3 linked regions of the Coturnix japonica genome follow. The protein of the gene in region 2 interacts with the protein of the main gene of each other region in a biochemical or structural test. Links are inferred from orthologs where the notes say so. Each region holds a gene or a part of one and is shown on either strand. Other genes may lie near its edges. The genes, in order: RAPGEF1, CRK and DOCK1.

Evidence for each region.
Region 1: the proteins of CRK (region 2) and RAPGEF1 form a complex in vitro, tested with the Homo sapiens proteins (4 studies listed by BioGRID, with this or other methods). The link is inferred for Coturnix japonica from reciprocal best matches to the Homo sapiens genes CRK and RAPGEF1.
Region 3: the proteins of CRK (region 2) and DOCK1 form a complex in vitro, tested with the Homo sapiens proteins (3 studies listed by BioGRID and IntAct, with this or other methods). The link is inferred for Coturnix japonica from reciprocal best matches to the Homo sapiens genes CRK and DOCK1.

What each region holds. Positions count from the first base shown.
Region 1 is NC_029532.1:4,849,401-4,853,049, forward strand, and holds part of RAPGEF1 (rap guanine nucleotide exchange factor 1), read right to left. Parts: intron 2,075-3,649; coding exon 1,896-2,074; intron 1-1,895. UniProt on the Homo sapiens protein: Guanine nucleotide-releasing protein that binds to SH3 domain of CRK and GRB2/ASH. Transduces signals from CRK to activate RAS. Involved in cell branching and adhesion mediated by BCAR1-CRK-RAPGEF1 signaling and activation of RAP1.
Region 2 is NC_029534.1:3,973,240-3,976,988, reverse strand, and holds the start of CRK (adapter molecule crk), read right to left. Parts: upstream 2,415-3,749; 5' UTR 2,286-2,414; coding exon 2,042-2,285; intron 1-2,041. UniProt on the Homo sapiens protein: Involved in cell branching and adhesion mediated by BCAR1-CRK-RAPGEF1 signaling and activation of RAP1.
Region 3 is NC_029521.1:29,265,217-29,268,865, reverse strand, and holds part of DOCK1 (dedicator of cytokinesis protein 1), read right to left. Parts: intron 2,889-3,649; coding exon 2,731-2,888; intron 2,191-2,730; coding exon 2,109-2,190; intron 1,691-2,108; coding exon 1,555-1,690; intron 1,401-1,554; coding exon 1,328-1,400; intron 1-1,327. UniProt on the Homo sapiens protein: Involved in cytoskeletal rearrangements required for phagocytosis of apoptotic cells and cell motility. Along with DOCK1, mediates CRK/CRKL regulation of epithelial and endothelial cell spreading and migration on type IV collagen.

The sequences.
Region 1 (3,649 bases), on a different chromosome or scaffold from region 2:
ATAAGCACAGTGTTTGCCATTTGTTCTAATTTTAAACAAAATTAACTTAGTGGGAGATATTTCCTAAATAGGGCCCTCCTCCATCTCTTTCTCTGGCTTTGATTTCTTTGTGATTAATCTTTGTTCTGCTTCCTTCTAAGGAGGCAGTAATTGAAAGCCTATTTTGTGCTAGATTTAATTACTTTTTTCCTCGATGCAAACCCTTCCCCTAAAGCAAAAAGAAGCCCAACAGTAATTGTAGGGCTTTCTTCCACACTGACACAAGTCTTGCTCTCTTTTCTTGAGGGGGATTTACCATCAAAAGCAGCCCTTTGTGTCCTGCCACTACTCAAAATAAATAAAGTGCATATGTAGTCATGAAAGGACGTGGCTTTTAGGGAATGACAAATCCCCTTTTTCTCTGTGCAGCCAAACAAGGCAGAACATACACAAGGGATCTGTGCTGCAGTCCAGAATGAGAGATTCATCACTAAGGAGGACTCCACTGACTACTGACTACAGGAATTCTGCTTACAGGCTAAATGTGGATATCCAACTGTCAAGGTTATATTACCTCACTTCTAAGGGAAAGGGTAGGAGGAATTTGAAGAATAGAGCCATCTGAAATATTGCTGCTGCTGAAGACCACTTAGCTGATATTTATTTCCAATATATTCTTGGTAGGAAAGATCACCCAGCGGATACACAAATCAAAGCAAGCGACTACAAAGATGACATTTTCTATCCTAAAAATATTTGCTGACATTTTACATGTTCTCCTGATGTAACAGGAAAGTTTGTTCTTTCTTTCACTAAGTGAAAGCAGGTGCTTGTCAGGAATTTAATGACTGCAGAAAACCTGATAGCAACGGAAGAAACTTTTGTGCCCGAATCCAGAAGCCTGATGAATGCTCCAATTCTAACAGCTATTTCTCTTTGTACTTCCACAAACCCAACCTAAATTGCAGCCCCCCTGTCCCAGTCACAGCTCTGGTACTCACCATTGTCTCCTTCCCTTTGTGCTGTCAGATAAAAGCATGTCCTGTGTACTGGGACCAGACAGCACTATATCTCTGTTAATAAAATATCGGCACCCTACAGCTGTCTTGACCGTACCATAAACCCTTCTTGCTGCACAACTGTACAACTGAACATCTCAAAACCAAAAGTCTTGGAGATACATACTGGGAAAACAGGAATCCAGCAAAAACCAGCAGGATTCAGAAAAAATAATAATAATAAAAATATGTATGTGCATTTCTCTGTCTAATTTTGCATGTGTAATAATTTCGCTTATTCCTTATTGTTCAATGATATTTGTTTGCTTTTGTTTTTTAAATCAGTTTCTCCATCACCTACAAGCAGCAGGCAGGCAGATCTCTGCGGCTTGATGACACCACAGATTCTTTCAGTGGATGTCGAGCTTTGCTTTGGCCAACTTCTACATCCTTTCTGACTTCAAACTCGTCATCTAACTGGTTTAAATGTAATACAGTAGGCATCAGAGCAAGCCTATAATCAGTCTGTGGAGAGCACACAGGAATGAACTTAGACTGGCTGATCTGTTGAAGTACATTTGTTTATTTCTGTTCTATATCTGCTTCCGTAAAACAAAATAAAAAGCAAATAACCAACCAACAGTCAGCAGTGCAGGCTTTTATCAGTATGGATAAACTGAATGCAGACTGAATAAAACCATTCTAAGTTGTTTTATCTTTCCATAGCATGGACTTCTTCACAGCACGGAGTTTGTTTCTAGTAGTGCTTGAAAATTATCCACTGTTTAGTAAGAATGGCAGACAACCTCTTTGTTACTATTACCATTTTCCATCTCACATGCCACACAATACAAAAAAGAAAGAAGCTGAGGAGCCTGCTGCTCTGCCATAGCTCCAAAACCCAAGAAGGAAAGCTACCTTTGTTGGATGCGTGGGTCAGTTTGCACCAGGGGCAGGATGGCTTCCAGCACTTTACTTGCTGAGCCTGGCAGCATCTCTAATACTTTCTTATCAATTGCCATTTTGTCCACAATCGTCTTAAAGTAGCGCAGCGCACTGACGACCTCCTTCTCCTTCTCCTCTAGCCATGACACGTTCTGGAGAGGAAGAAAAAGTGAGAGAAAAGTTAAAATGTCAGGATTTTAAAGGGAAAAGTTACTTTTACTTATCTGAAGAGGATAGAGTGAAACTGAAAAGGTACATTCTACTTCAGAATACTAGAAAAGAAAACCCTTCCACCATAAATATGATCCTTTCAAGGGAACAGTCAGAGCAAAATTGTACTCATATTTTGACTTTCTGAATTACAAGATGTGCATTGCAAAATGAAGGCTAACTAGATCAGTTTTTGGATAAGATTAACGTTACTGCTGATTTCTAATAGTCCTAATAGGCATCGTGATGGTGCTGGGACAAGGGAACCCACACACCTTCCATAGGGACAGACTGTGAAAGCCAAGCTTTGGCATCAGTTAATGGATGTTGCAGAAGGGAACAATTCATTGGCATACAGCTGAGCTGTTACCAACAACTTCTGTGTCATCACCAACACGAGGAAAGGAAATTCAGAAGTGATATATGACATCCTAATGGCATTCTGGATGGGGCTATTTAGGGAAAAAAAAAGAAGTTTAGCAGGGTATGCCTGGAGGACTTTTAATGCCACAAGTAGTTCCTAAGTGAGATTTAAATTAACTACTGAACATTGCTAGAAAGGAGCAGAGAGCTTAACAGAGTCAGGTTTCATCCATTATCTCTTCAGTAAATTCAGCTTCAAGAATTAATGACCTATGGGCATTGTGAGCTCCCTGTACTCTTGTCAGCAGTTGAACTGCTGCTTTCTTACAAAATCAGGCCAGCAGCCCAAAAGGCTTCAGGATGAACAATTTACAGGCAGCACTGGTTAGTAACCAGGGGCCAGATCCATAAAGAGAGTCCCAAGTCCCACCTAGCTCTGACTTTTGAAGCCTAAGTCCAAATCCACTCCGTCATTTCCATCTCATCTGGGAAGCCCCAAGCTTTGCTGCTGCCTCCCCTTCTGACAAAGCAGCTGGCTGGGCCTTTCCATTCCTGCTTCACAGCCCACCCACAGCCACTGAACTTTACTGCTGAGGAGCATCCTGGCAACTCAATGATCACAAAAAAACCACCACATTTCCCATTCTTCAGGCATGTACCCTCAGCACTGCACGGCCCATTCCAGGCTATGGAGAGGCACTTCATATGAAACCATTACAGATTTCAGGGATGAGAGAGGCTGGACGTTCCGCAGGCAGAATGCCTATGGCCTGCGGTCAGAGCTCTCAAACAGAAGTGAAAAAAATGCAGATTGCAGTTCCTGCTCTGATTAATGTTTATATATTCATTCAACAACTGCTTCCTGTAGAAAGGCTTGTGACTTAATAGCTTAAACACTCTCCTGGACACAGGAGGGATGGGCCTGGGAATGACACGTGGAAACACAATGCTTTCCACTGAGCACACCAAGGCATCCACATCAGCCACCGGATGCTATTTGGGACACAGCCCTTTTTTACCATGATTTCCCTGCTAGCTCATTGGGAAAGAACCCAAGGGGAGCACCTTTTATGCAGCTGTTTCTCAGCTCCAAAGACCTCATATCAATGTGAGAATATATACACATAAACATGCACAAAAAAAGCCTGCGTGTC
Region 2 (3,749 bases):
CCAGGAAGTGCAGCCTGAATCCTTCAGAAAATCACAATGGAGCGCAATAAGCACGTTCTTAAGACGCATAATACTTACTGAAAACATCACCTTCCACTCTGTCACACTTCTCTATGTCATAAAGAAAAACGTTAAGGCTTTCAGGCTTCTGGCCTGATGTCTTTAGATGTTTGAGTGTACACCAGACATCACGGCCCTATCCTTGTATGTCAAACTGCAAAGACGTGATGGGTTTAAAGTCAGGTTCCTACTGTCACCTGCACACAGCAGGGTACAAGCAGTCACAAATCACACATGCATTTCAATCACCTGAAGCCAATAAATCAACACAGGAACCTGACCGGGCATATTTAGGCTTTCCAGTGAGTTGTGTGCATCTGTCAAACAATCAATTGCAATAAAAATAAGTAGACCATATAGAAAACTGACATGGTAAAGTTGGTTTTTCCAAAATAGCTACTTGTGAACATTTACCTCATTTCACTGCACTACCTTCCCCATCCAAACCTGAAATCATCTTCAACCTTATAGCAATAATAGCACGTCCCTTCCTTTAAAGAACATTTCTCCCTGGAGGAAATTCTTAATTACAGGTTAAACGTAACTTACTACACACACACTTTCTTCCTTTGAGCGTGAAAAGCGCACAGCATCAGCATGACATTCATTTAAACCCACTTGAATTTCAGCACAAAAATACCTTTGGTGTGAAAGCAAAGCAGCACCTATTCCAATAACATCAAGGTGGGGAAAAAGTGGACTTCCAAAAAGTAATAAAGCTCAGGATGGACTCCACTACAAATCACCATAGAAGCTTATTCTGCTCTGTGTAACAACCACACGTTTCACACATCAACCTATGAAAATAAACCTTTGCCTTGATAAGACATGAAACGCTGAGGAACCGAATGTATCTTGTGGTAAACCACTTCACTACCCGCTTCGCTTCCAGTTCAATGCAGCCACCTTTATCTCCTGCATTGCAGAGCTTTGTGTGACTGAAGCACACCTTACAGCAGCGGCAGATTCCTGTGATGAACCCAATGACTTCAGGCTTTCCCCAGTTTGTCAATTCTAAACGTTACCCCAATCAGGAGAGATCACTGTAGAATGGTGCAAACCCACCCACCACCAACAGATTCCTTCTTTATCAACTACAGTCTGCACAGCCTTTCTGTCTCTGTAGCAACCTATGTCCTAACTTCACTCCTCGTCAGGTTCATTAGCTCTCCTATTACACAGCCTTATTATACAGCCTTCCAGACTTTGTAGTGGTTTCTCAGAGATGCCAGCAATTCGCCCACATCATTCTGTGAGCATTAACATCCAGACAGGAGCGGCTCCACCGCCAACATCAGCAATGCCCCCATCAGGGCTGCTGCTTAATTCAACCTTCTCATCACACATCGATAGATTATACATTGCTGAAGGCTCCAGGTCACTTGTGCGTTCAGAATCATTGCTTTCTGCAATGCAAAAGCAACACTTCAAGGGTTAACTTAAGTACATTATGTTTGTATTAGAGGTTGATGAGGAATAACATCAAATCTCCCTTTACAACACAAGGTGTGTGTAGGAGGGGGAACCCTGAATTCCGTATCTGATCTAAAGGAACAAACGCCTTTACACTGCTCCCACCCAGCTTTGATTCACGACTAAGTTTAGCCTCACAATCTGTCCTCTTAACTCTCAACTATTCCAACCCAATTCAACCTTTGAATTGACACTTCCAGGGATCCATCTCCACGCTGACACACCTCACCCACAAATTAAAACAAAACGAAAGAAGGCATAAAGCTGTAAAAGTGTGACGGCTCCGGGCTGCGCTCTGTCCCATCGTTTAGATGCGAGGCAGGTGCAGGGAAACGGCTGCAAGGCGAGATTGAATTAAGTCCTCTACAAAGAGCAACACGACTCCAACACAACACGACTCCACCACGACTCTCAGACCCGGCCGTGAGCAGAGCGGAGCTGCAGGGACCAGGCGCAGAGCGGGGCCCGCAGCGGCTGATGGGCACGGCCAGCCCTGGGGGTCACTCACCCGGGGTCCCGGGGCCCTCTCCGCCGGCCCTTCGTCCTCCCGCCGGCCCCAGGCTGTTGACGATGTAGTGCGACACGCGGGAGCTCTCAGACACCGACAGGACGAAGTCTCCGGGGATGGTGCCCGAGTCTCGCACCAGGAAGGTCCCGTGGCGCTGCCCCTGAAGCAACGACACCGCCTCGGCCCGGCTCAGCCGCCCCCAGTACCAGCTCCCCCGGTCCTCGGAGTCGAACTGCCCGGCCATGGGGGCCGTCCCGCCCGCAGGCCGCACTCGCTGCCCCCGCCCCGCGGGCCGCCGCCGCCCGCGGTGCCCAGCTCCGCGCCCAGCCCTACCGCACCAAAATGGCGGCCCCTACCCTGACCTCACCTACCGGAAGTGACCGCACGCGGGAGACGCGGGGGGATACGTGACGTCATCACAACGCGCGGCCTTGGGGACGGTTGGCGGCCTGTGGGGGCTGCGCATGCGCGTTGGGTGGAGCGCAGGGTCTGAGGGGAGCTGTGTGTGTGCTGCCTTGTAGGTGAGACCTGATTGTGAGTGCGGAGGGTCCGTCTGGGCACCCACAGGATCACAGAATGACCCGGGTTGGAAGGGACCTCAAGGATCATGTAGTTCCAACCCCCTGCCTGGCAGGGCCACCAAACATACACCTTTACTAGATCAGGTTGCCCATGGCCCCGTCCAACCTGGCCTTGAACACCTCCAAGGACGGGGCATCCACAACCTCCCTGGGCAGCCTGTTCCAGGGCCTCACCACTCTCCTAGTGAAGAACTTCCCCCTGACATCCAACCTAAATCTTCCCTCTTTTAACTTCAAACCATTTCCCCGTGTCCTGCTATTGTCAGCCCTTTCCAAGAGTTTACTCCCCTCCTGGTTATAGGTTCCCTTCAGGTATTGAAAGGCTGCAATGAGGTCACCCCGCAACCTTCTCTTCTCCAGGCTGAACAAACCCAACTCCCTCAGCCTGTCCTCAGAGGGGAGGTGCTCCAGCCCCTGATCATCTTCCTGTCCCTCCATTGAGGATTCAATTCATTGTCTTTTTTCCTTCAGAGAGAAGCTGCCACCTGCAGTTGGTGCTTTCACCTTCCCAGCCAGCTGCATTTTCCTGCCTCACAGCTGTTTGCATGGAAAACCACTGGAAAACCCTTCCCAGGGAGATGTTCTGTGTTAAGTAGAGCCCTGTGGAAAAACAAGCTGTTTCTGACCCTGAGAAGATCACTGACCGCAGGAGCCTGCAGATAAAGTTGCTTCACTTCCATTTCTGCTGCAGGGGAATGTGCATGTGGGTGTATGCACCATTAAGAATTATAAGGATGGAGAAATAGGTACCAAGTTTAGATTAGCTTCAAGTTCCAGAGTAACATCTTCAGAGTCTGGATAACTGCATAGACAATTCCATTCCAGCTCTGCTCAATTCTATAAGCTTTTTTTTTTCCCCCAAAGGAATGTGTATTTTCAACTGTGTGGCCTCCATGTGGCAGCACTTGCATAAACATGGAGCACAGCTGCCCTTAACTGTGCAAGTGCATGTGCTGGCTCACAGCACCTTTGCTTTCTTGTGAGGCATTGGGAAGCCCTGTGACTGTCTCATGGAGTGGCTTTGGTATTGTGTTTTGTATGAACCTTCACAGTATCCCAATGGAAAAATATTCTATCTTACAGGTGGGAGGCTGCAGTTATAAATATATAAGAAAACACCAGGTGTT
Region 3 (3,649 bases), on a different chromosome or scaffold from region 2:
AAACTAGATGTGCCATTAGCATCCACTTTGACACACACAGATTCATTTTCACTGCACATTTCCACACTTGCTACTGTTTGCCATACAATAAACATATCATGAAAGCGCTCTTCCCTAACGAAGTCTGTTTCCCTTGAAAAACAGAGTTACACTTATGATTTTCACTGCAACGGATGCTGCTTCATACAAACAAAACCATTTTAGACATTAGGCACACGTCCATTCCTAGCAGCACCATGGTATTCTATCTATACCGCTTCATCTTCAAACATGAGGACTTCCAAAATAAAGCCTTTTTACCAAAATGAAGTTTAATTTGTGACCACATCATTTCAAGTTCTTTTGTTTGGTTGGTTTTCTCTATTACTAAAACCCCTCTGAATACCCATTAGCGTATTAATCAAGGAATTTTTGGTTAATGTTACTTTATCTTTCACAGTGTTGAACAGATGGCAGCATAACATTTCTTAGAAAGAATAAGCCAAGCACTGCAGCTCTACACACACGCATTTGACTTATCCCTTCTATCCCTTCTACCTTTCTACACTTCACATAATAAAAAATAGAGACCTCCAAGAACTGCGGATAGAAGTGAACTTTTGCCACAGTTCTCCCCTGTTAAAATAGAAAAGGTCTGCAGGTTCAGGAGACTGAAACCAAGACCAGGACCAAGCAGGATGCTGATCTCCATGGTCCAACATCGACTATAACATGCACAGCAGGCAGATCTCCTTCACCATCCAACCATTTAATGGCTCTGGAGAAGGGTCATATGAAGGCCAAAGAATGAGAAATATCCCAAGACGTTTATCAAGCCATCTTTCAAATTCTCAACGTTTATTTTTACAACTGCTTTTACAACAATTTTGTTTACTGTGCCATTTCATCTCCTACCAAGAAAAAGATACGTGCTGTCATTAACTCCTTTCACAGAGGTCACCTGGATTGGATGCCTTTTTCAGTCTTAGCCAGTGCTGAACCAGCAACATAACTACTTCGAGCACTGCGCTTCTGAAGTGGGATAACCCTGACATCTTCATGTTTAAAATAAAGAAATAAATAAAAGGAAAACAGGACAAAACCAAGAATGTACCCTCAAAACTCAACTGAAAAAATTTAAAGCAAGTTTTTGGTGCTGATGGTACCATAACTATTGGGAAATTGCCGAGAACAAAAATTAAGAAGTAATGCTTAATATAGGCTATCAGACTGAGATAAATCAACTTCAGAATACTATAGAACACACCTTGCAATCAACATTTAAACCTGTAATAAAAAATCACAATCTTTATACTTCCGCTTATTCTTTAAGCAATTCGTTACTTACGGTTGAAATGGTATGAAGTGCTGTTTGTCCTCATCATCAACTTTTCCATTAATTATGTCGGTAACATCCATTACTGAAAACAAAAACAAAGTACGTTGAATTTAAGGATAAGTGCAGGAAGAAGAGTGGTGAGGGGACACCCTGAGGGGCAGGAAACAACAGTTATTAAGCACAGGCTCAGGCAACCATGCGATGTGACACCTAGGGATGCTGCAAACAAGAATTACCTGCTACTCCAAAAGGCCGCCGGAGCCCCGACGTCAGCTTCCTCGTGTTGTTGTCCCTCAGCTCCATTCTGCCCACCCGCACAATCTGACAGACAAAACTGATTTTCTCTCTTTTCAGGTCTTTGCTGCCCAGGTCCTAGAAATATAAAGTTTTGTCAGACTGTTTTGTCATAGTCGAATGCATTACAAGTTCCATTCAGTACATTTAGAACATTTGCCTTCGTCATCGTAGCACAAGAACAAATCGTTCCCAGAATTTTAAGCATGTTTCTAACGGTAGTTACGCCTTATCTTGACTTCTGTGTGAATTAGTTCCTTAGGAAGTCAAGTCATTTCTAGTAAATTAAACCTTCACGGAGCAACTTCACCCTTGTGTTTAAAAGTTTTTAAAGAGACATTTATGAGAAATGTCTCATAGGAGCCTCCAGCAGGACTGTGACTGGCAGAGCCAACTCCACCATTCACACTGAGGTTAATAACTCCTCAGTTATTCACAGAACGTGAGAGAAATCCTTTAGGCTCCGCAAACTGAACCAACCCCAACCCAGACTTACAGTGAACACTGCTCGGAGGTTGTGCAACCTGTCGATGTCCTTGGGGAGCCCAGAGCTTGACCACCTCACCAAATAGTTTTCACTGAAAAAACACAGCATTTTGAAGAATCTTTTTCTTTAAATGGCTTCACTGAATGTACGGTTATAAAATCAACTTACAGAAGAATATCTTAAGCCCAATCTATCTACTAATCAAATTAATATTTACTTAGTAGACAGCTGCCATTTTCCTTTGCATGTATCACTCAACAAGAAAAGCAGCTCTTCTGCAAGGTAGCAGGGGTGCAGGAACAGCTCACAGTGATGTCAGTGCTGCTGCCAAGAGAGCACACACAGCCTTGCAGGTGCGTTCATGTCTCATTTAAGCTCTGCACTTGAGGAACCAAAGACATGGTGTGATAAGGAAGAGCACGACCCTGAAATGTACCCAGGGTGAAGGGACTTGCCGGATGCTGTGCTGAATACGACTGAAGTGCTGCTGCATCATTACTTCCCAGATAAGCCTGTCCTGCACATTTCACAGAAATTTGACTTTCATAAGCCCTGCACCATCCTGCAGAACTACCACACTGCTGTGACTGAGGAAGAACAGAGAAGGGAGTGGACTCAGGAGTACACTAACCTGATGAATTTTGATTCATGGGGATCATAGAGAGACATGAGGACTTCAGCATCTTCCCCTATTTTGCAGACTACATTCTTTAAATTTACAAACAAAGCAAACGAAGGAGTGGCAGCAAACTTGGCTTGTCTGTTGATATCGATGTTCTGTTTCTGAGACTGTAATTCAAGAACAGAAGAAACTTAAATTTAATTCAACCTAACAAACAGCCAACTGTTACAGAATCTTCCTGAAACCTTTAAGACAGTAAAAGGAGTTATCTGTTGTGTGCCTGCTCTTGCTGTCTTTGTTTATATTTGATCAAGAAAATGCAGTTTGTTGTAAATTCTATCTTAAAGCAGGACTCCATAAGGAATAACAAGATGAAATAAATTAAGATGCCTTGATGCACTCACTTATTAAATAAAAGGAAGCGAGTCAGATGGAGAAAAGAGCCTACGCTGCTCCTGGCAAAAAGGCAAACTTTTCTGTGTCTCCCATGGCACGTTCAGAGCACCAGGACAGCCAGGAGAGCCAGCAGTGCTGCTCTACAGCCAACCTGCCCACCCTCTATCCATTAGCTCCACAGGACTTTCCATGAACGCCTCATCTAGGCTGGAGGGAGAAGCACACATAGGACAAAATGGAGATGGGAGGGAGGGCGCTGGAAGCAGACTCTTCTCATTGGCATCAAGCTGCAAAGTGGCCCCAGTCCATCCCACTCCGGGTCCCACTGGAGTCGCAGCATCATTCAGCCAAGTTTCTGCATGACAGCTGATGTTCAACAGCAAACTACAAACTTCAACAAATTTTCCACTCTTGGTAAACATAAACCCCACAGACATGAGGGCACCATTCTATGCGACACTCCAAAATAAACCCTCAGTAAAACCCAGCACATACTAATGTGCTACCTCTGCATCTCCACCATTAGGCGACA